Cricetulus griseus: one gene and its partner. Each later gene encodes a partner of the first gene's protein in a complex. Links are inferred from orthologs where the notes say so. Each region holds a gene or a part of one and is shown in the gene's direction. Other genes may lie near its edges.

The links. The genes of interacting proteins can lie anywhere in the genome.
Region 2: Gtf2a1 (region 1) and Polr2b share a complex: the UniProt entries of both Homo sapiens proteins name them as parts of the TBP-based Pol II pre-initiation complex. The link is inferred for Cricetulus griseus from reciprocal best matches to the Homo sapiens genes GTF2A1 and POLR2B.

Annotation. Positions count from the first base shown.
Region 1 is NC_048598.1:113,330,465-113,333,964, forward strand, and holds part of Gtf2a1 (transcription initiation factor IIA subunit 1), read left to right. Parts: intron 1-2,200; coding exon 2,201-2,334; intron 2,335-2,642; coding exon 2,643-2,963; intron 2,964-3,500. UniProt on the Homo sapiens protein: TFIIA is a component of the transcription machinery of RNA polymerase II and plays an important role in transcriptional activation. TFIIA in a complex with TBP mediates transcriptional activity.
Region 2 is NW_023276807.1:143,692,824-143,697,037, forward strand, and holds the start of Polr2b (DNA-directed RNA polymerase II subunit RPB2), read left to right. Parts: upstream 1-1,414; 5' UTR 1,415-1,589; coding exon 1,590-1,608; intron 1,609-4,214. Other genes in the region: Noa1 (nitric oxide-associated protein 1), read right to left, coding at 1-1,002. UniProt on the Homo sapiens protein: Catalytic core component of RNA polymerase II (Pol II), a DNA-dependent RNA polymerase which synthesizes mRNA precursors and many functional non-coding RNAs using the four ribonucleoside triphosphates as substrates.

The DNA of each region.
Region 1 (3,500 bases):
CTAACACCAAGTAGCTCTTAATGTTTTATTGTCACTGAAGGGAGGCAGTACTGACGCTTGTTAAGATCATTTGAGGGCTATAGGATATAGAATTGTAGTCTTTGTTGAGGGTATAATTGAAAAAATCAAAGTTGTAGCCAGGTGTGTGGTAGCACACATAATCGCAGCAGTTGGGATTTGGAGGCGGGATCAGATGTTCAATGCCATCCTAGGTTTCATAATGAGTTTGAGCCCAACTGAAACCCTGATTCAAAAAAGAAAAAAAAAGGTGTTGGTGGCGCACGCCTTTAATCCCAGCACTCGGGAGGCAGAGACAGGCAGATCTCTGAGTTCGAGGCCAGCCTGGTCTCCAGAGCGAGTGCCTGAATAGGCTCCAAAGCTACACAGAGAAACCCTGTCTCGAAAAACAAAAAAAAAAAAAAAAAAAAATCTAAAATTGGGCTGGAGAGATGGCTCAGAGGTTAAGAGCAGGCGCTGCTCTTCCAGAGGTCCCGAGTTCAATTCCCAGCAACCACATGGTGGCTCACAACCTTCTGTAATGAGATCTGTTGCCCTCTTCTGGCCTGCAGGCATATATGCAGACAGCATGCTGTATACATAATAAATAAATCAATCTTGAAAAAAAAAATTAAAACAGGAATTTAAAAAAAAAAATTTTTAATGGATCTTTTGTTCTGTGAATGAGAACCCTGCCTAAGTGGGATTACAGAGATATGGTTATTTTCTGAGATTGGCTTTTTTTTTTTTTTTTTTTAAACAAAGCATCTGTTTTGCTAAATGAAATATTTGAATTAATTTGTGATGATCAAATTAAATTCCACAGGACCTGAAGAGCTGATTCATTGTGTACTTTTAGAGAATGTACTGTCTTTGCAGTTATGCCAAATACATATTTCCATCTTATCTTTGGAACACTTAAATAGACTGTTATATAGCCTGATCTTTATATTATTTATTGATTGATTGTCTGTAATTTCTAAATTTGTGCAGAACCAATTAGGGCTTTGCCCTCATTTATTTATTTATTTATTTATTTATTTATTTATCTATCTATCTATCTATCTATTTATTTTTTGGTTTTTCGAGACAGGGTTTCTCTGCAGCTTTGGAGCCTTCATGGAATTCGCTCTGTAGATCAGGCTGGCCTCGAACTCATGGAGATTAGCCTGCCTCTACCTCCCAAGTGCTGAGATTAAAGTTGTGCGCCACCACTGCCAGCCTAGGGCTTTGTCTTCTTTTGGAAGTATATGAGGCTATTCTGTGTATTATATATTATTCATAATTACAGCAGTTCTAATTGTTTTAGCAAATTTTCATTGCTTGTTGAAAATTTGAAGCAAAGCCCTGTGCTTTGGTTTAAGATACAAACAAAATGTTATACCTTTGTGTCTGCCTCTGCCTCCCAAGTGCTGGGATTAAAGGTGTGCGCCACCAACGCCTGGCTTTCTAATACTGTTTACTACACTTTCTTGACTGTTATCATGTGAGAAAAAGTAATTAAGGCAATCTTTAAGTCTTTTAATTTTGTGTGGCTATTTTACCTGCTTGTTTGTGCATCACATGCTTGTAGTTCCTTGGGAGTCTAGAAGAGGCCACCACATTCCCTAGAACCGGAGTTAGAGCTGGCTGTCAGCCACCATGTGGGTGCTGGGAATGGAACCTCCGTTCTCTGGGAGAGCATCTAGTGCTTGTAACTGCTGAGTTACTTCGATAGTCTCTTAATCAAATTTTACAACCTGTTGTTAAAGCTTTATTGGTAATAAGCTAAAGAAGGGGCTGGAGAGTGGCTTAGCGGTTAATAGCACTGCCTGTTCTTCCAGAGGACCTGGGTTCAATTCTCAGCACCCACCTGACAGCTCACAACTGTCTGTAACTCCAGTTCTAGGGGATCCAACACCTTCACACAGACATACATGCAGGTAAAACACCAATGCATGTAAAAAAAAAAAAAAAAAGCTAATGAAGATAATAAATATGGGAAAACATTTGGACATAGAGGGAAATTGGGAACTATAGTGGTTGTAGTTTATCATGTATAGTTGATAGCCCTTAGTAAAATAGTTAGTCTTCTAATTTGGTAAATATTTTGGTTCTTTGGCTTGAAAGCAACATAAACTCATTTCCTTGTGTATTAATTGCTGCTGAAATAGCAACTTGGTCTATATTCTTTTTTTTTTTTTTTTTTTTTTTTTTGCCTTAGGTCAGCTTCTTCAGGTGGTCCGAGCAGCCAATGGTGCCCAATATATCTTTCAACCTCAGCAGTCAGTTGTTCTACAACAACAAGTTATACCACAGATGCAGCCTGGTGGAGTACAGGCTCCTGTTATCCAGCAGGTAAAGAATTGTTACCATCCCCTGGGATCCAGCTGCTGCTCTTGCTGCTGCTGCTGCTGCTGCTGCTATAACTGTATGAATTTATCATGTGGTTCCCTACCCTTTTCCCCCTCAAGTTTACATACACAATAGTCAAAACAATCTTATTCTCAATTGTTGTTATTACTATTATTATAATTATAATCATCATTATCATTATTAGGCCTCCAAGCAAGTTACATCTCTCATGTTTAAAACTGAATTATTATTTGTTTCTGGCTTCTTGATCCCTCTTACTAGTTCCTAATAGGTGGTTTTGTTTGCCCTAGGTCTTGGCCCCACTTCCTGGAGGGATTTCACCACAGACAGGTGTCATCATCCAGCCACAGCAAATCTTATTTACAGGAAATAAGACTCAGGTCATCCCTACTACAGTGGCAGCACCCACACCAGCACAAGCGCAGATACCTGCCGCTGGCCAGCAGCAGCCACAGGCCCAGCCTGCTCAACAGCAAGCCCCATTGGTGCTGCAAGTTGATGGAACAGGGGATACGTCATCTGAGGAAGATGAAGATGAGGAAGAAGACTATGATGATGATGAGGAGGAAGATAAAGAGAAAGATGGAGCTGAAGATGGGCAGGTAGAAGAAGTAAGTTTCTAGTAAAAAGAGACTTGAAAAGAGAAGCCCCTCATCATTTATTGTTGTATTTAGGGCTAAACAGACAAATTAATATGCTATTTCTTCAGAGAGGTGGATGCTTGGACTCAGCTAGCTTTCTCTCCCCCAAACTCAGGGAGTATATCACCCACTCTGAGTATGGTTCTTCTACCTCAGTAACCACACCATCACAGTCCATCATAGGCATCCTCAGGAACTAGATTATCCATCCCTCATACATGGCCTAGAGGGCTGTCTCCTAGGCTGTTATAGGTCCTGTTAGGTTGATATTAACAGCAACTACCACAGGCTCCCTTTTTTTAAAAGGTATGTATATCAAATGGAAATTATATTAATAGGGATAGTACAGATCAAATTTCTTGTTATTATTCATAATGTGGTGGCTTAACCATAAGATAGTGGTAGAGCAGATGAATAGGATTGATCTTGTGTTTTAGTGATTAAAAAGGCATGGCATTGTTTGGGGAGAGAGGAAAGTGGAGAATAACTGAATGTGACAGCTCAAGC
Region 2 (4,214 bases), on another chromosome or scaffold:
CCAGGAGCGCTGAAGTGCAGAGATCAGTTCTTCAACTCCGTAGCCGGTCTTGGCGCTGATCAACCGGACGTCCTTGATCACGGTGCTGGACCTGGTCGACGGATTCGGATTCTTTTTCTCGTCCCGAGGGTCATCGCCGGTGGGGTACTGCGGTCCTCGGTGGCCAGGTGCCATCACGAGCCCAGCGCGGATGCAGTCGTCCCACAGCCGCTTCCGCAGCCGCTGCAAGTAGCCGGGTGCGTCTTGGGGCAGCAGGTCCACTTTGTTCCCCAGCACGAAGACCTGCTTGGGGCCCACCAGCTTGGGCAGGTCGGGCAGCAGGGCGTCCGGCAGGTCGAGCAGGTCCACCATATAGAGCACCAGAGCGGGTTCCGGCCGCCGCAGCGCGGCGCTCACCAGCTCCAGGTACTGCTCTCGACTCACCCGCAGGCGCAGGGCACGTCGATGGTGCACCAGGAGCCAGCAGCGTTGGCACACGGTCCGCGCCCGTCCGCCGTCCGCCTGGGTCACACCGCGGAACTTCTCCTCCGTCAGGTAGCCGGGCAGGCTGGGGTGCTGGCAGTGCAGCTCGGCCCCGCAGCCCGAGCAGTAGATGCCGCTGGGTGGCACCGTGGCTTCTGGAAGCTCGGGGACCTGCAGACTCCGGAGACCCGCCCGCAGCTTCCGCTGAAGCCGCTCCTCCCGCCGCTGCAACCTCTGTCGCTCCTCATCCTGCTGCCGCTGATGCAACTCCCGCAACTCTCTCAGCAGTTCCTCAGGGTCCCGCTCCGGGACGTACTCCGGGAACAGAAAGCGCTCCTCCGTGTCGGGGCCTTCTTCATAGTCCTCGGTCGCCGTGGAGCCTGGAGGCAGACGGCGGCCCAGGGATGATGGGCTCTGGGAGAAAGCGGCTTCGCGCTTCCCCGCCAGGAGCCGCCGGGCAGGGCCATGGCACGCTGCGGCAGGCGCCGGGCCCCGCAGGAACCCGCACAGCAGCCTGCAAGCCTGCAAGCCAGGCAGCATGCGGACGGCCGTGAGGTGGGCGGAGCCTCGGGCGCGCACCCGTGCGCGTGTCCGGAAATCAGGGACGAGAGGCGAGGGAACTGTCCAACGGCGTGACTAACCCTGGCTTTCTCGCGATGAAGGCTCCGAGACCCGAGAGTTCACCCCGCTGTGCAAAGGCGCGCACTAGAGCTGGGTGGGCAGGAGATGATCGTGGGTGCTCTGCCTACACCCAGAGCTTTTCTTTCATAAATCCCCTTTACGCCAATCAAGCGTCATCTGTGCAACAACTCTACAAGAACACGCAACAAGAAACTACGTTAACCGGGTCCAACTTCCGGCCTAAAGAGCGGTCCTCAGCGGTAGCCGAGCGACCCAAAATCTGCACTTGCGCAGTTCAAGCCCCCGCCAGGCTCGGCCGGCCGTTTGCGCAGGCGCAGATCTCACACGATTCCCCCCCCCCGCTCCCCCGCCCCACTTAGACGCCGAGGATTCTGGGAACGCCGGAGACGGAAATTGCTTGTTCTTACTCTCCAGAGTTTGCCGCTGCAGTTTTCGCCTCCAGCTTTGTGAATTCGAGTTAAGAGGACCAGAAACCTTTGGCCAAGATGTATGACGCCGACGAGGGTAGGTGACCACGTGAGACACGCCTCGCGGTAGCCTCTTAGGCGGTACGGCGGGGGAACCTGCAGGGATGGAGGACCTGCGCCAGCAACCCCATCCCGGCCGGGACGCGCGCCCCGCAGCCCTGTTCTCACGCGCTGGACTTGCTGGCTGTGTAGGCTCGGGAAACCTAGGATTCACGTTCCCGGGTCAGGTCGATTGCTCCCTGCGTGGCCTCCTGTTAAACCTGCTGTCACCTTCCAGGAACGACAGTGTGCAAGTGCTTATTAACGTTCGGGTGTTTTGACGTTGATTGGTTTCCTTTGCACCCCAGTCAACTTGCTGAATAGCTAGGTATTTTTTTTTTTTTTAATACTGTCACAGAGGATTGGATCCAGGTCCTGCACGTACTCTACTCTTGAGCCATTATTCCTAGTCCCGGGTAGCTCAATTTTCGACCACGTCCTGTTATACCCTGGAAATATTAAGGATAAAGAATGAGTTCTGGGTTGACATTCCTTCACACTGTCTTCAGTTAAAGTAAATGCCTTAAAAGATGGCCTTTTAGTAGTCTCTTACCATGAGATGACATAGTCCTTGCTGTGTATGTATTTCATTTCACAAGGACATGCCTAGTCACTTTTCATAGGCACACTTCAGGTTTTCTTTTTTTGTTTTTCGAGACAGGTTTGGAACTCAGTCAGAGATCCTCCTACTTCTGCCTCCTGAATGCTGTAATTAAATGAGCCACCACCGCTGGGCCTCATGTTGTATTTTTTTTTTTAAAGCTCCCTCTTTACTTCTGTGTTCCAGCTTCCAACTTTATGGCCATCCTACTCAGACACAACAAAAGCTTCAACTTTTAAAATTTCTTAAACGTCTCAATTGTATTCATATCTCATGGAACTCTATTAAAATCGTTATATTCTTTTAAATTACTCTTACTTGAAGGAAATGCAGAAACTTTAAGACTTTTATAGCATCTATTTATTTTGTATGTATGTATCAGGGTGCACACATGGAGCATACCCTATAGATGCTGGGTTTGAACTCAGATCCTCAGCTATGTGACAATCATCTTTACCCATTGAGCCATTTCACCAGCCCTAAGAATGTTTCTAGTTTCCATCTCAGGACCTCTGTGACCCATTATAATCTGATTTTGCTAATGCTCCTATGTTAAAACAGCTTTTTCTGAGTGGTCTGTGATTTCTTACTTGATAAATTAGATAGATGCTTCAAGACTTACTTAGATCAGTTGTTGTAGCTCACAGAAGGCCAAATGTGGAGGATTATCTTTAAATTGGAGACCCAAAACCAACCAACCAGATAAAACATCATTCACCCACCCAACTCTCACCTATTTCTGTGCTATTCAAAATTGTTCACGATTTCCTCTTGAAAACTACTCATCTACTCTGCTACATCACTTCCACTTGACTGTTACCGTTTCTTTTACTCATTACTGTTGTTTACATTCTCCCTGGGTGATCTAATCCAGTCTTTTTTTTTTTTTTTTTTTTTTTCAAGACAGGGTTCTCTGTGTAGCTTTGGAGCCTATTCTGGTACACAGTCTGTAGACTAGGCTGGCCTCGAACTCACAGAGATCCGCTTGTCTCTGCCTCCCGAGTGCTGGGATTAAAGGCATATGCCACCAACGCCTGGCGATCTAATCCATTATTCATACTTGAATTTACTGGATGACTTGAATACATTTTTGTTTATTTTTTTCTTTTCCCTTTTGGTTTTTCGAGACAGGGTTTCTCTGTCCTAGCTGTCCTGGAACTAGCTCTGTAGACTTGGCTGGCTTCCAACTCTCAGAGATCCCCTACCTCTGCCTCCTAAGTGCTAGGATTAAAGGCTTGTGCCACCACTGCCCAACCAAATTTTTGTTTCTTTAGACATGGTCTTGACTATGTGCATTACATAAGCTGGCATTGAACTACTGGCAGTTCTCTTACCTCAGTCTCTCATGTGCTGGGATTATAGGCATGAGCTAATATGCCCTGCTGTATTTCCAATTTAGTTGTCCTGCATATCTATCTCTTACTAGATAACTGGGAGATCTGTTAGGTTCCCTAAACTCTACTGTTGACTCAACTCACTTTATCCGTATCCATTTTTCTTACACACACACACACACACACACACACACACACACACACACACACACAGAGGAAATATATCTGATACTGTTTGAGAGTGTGTCTCAAAAAATGTGAATGTGTGTGCACTGCTTGTCTATATGTGTATGTCCTGTCTCAGCCTTCCCTGTGCTGTGATTACAGGTGTGTGCCTGGCTTTTTTACATGGGTGCTGGAGCTCTGAACTCAGTCTTCATGCTTGCACAGTAAAGCGCTTTGCCATCTGAGCTATCTCCCCAGTACCCTACATTGCCTTTTCTTGATTAGATTATACTATGCTATCTTCATTATGATGTCTTTTGGACAGGAGCCATCTTCACTCCTCCCATATTCACTGACTCATTTTTGCCTGGTCTACTCCTGTTTTCAGTTTTTGGGATGACTTATTTTCTTGGGGTCCTGGTTAGGAATGTTCATATTACTCTGTCTTTGTTGATTTCAACTTGTTTGTATTTCCTCAATAGATGATAATCTCTGTAATAGTGC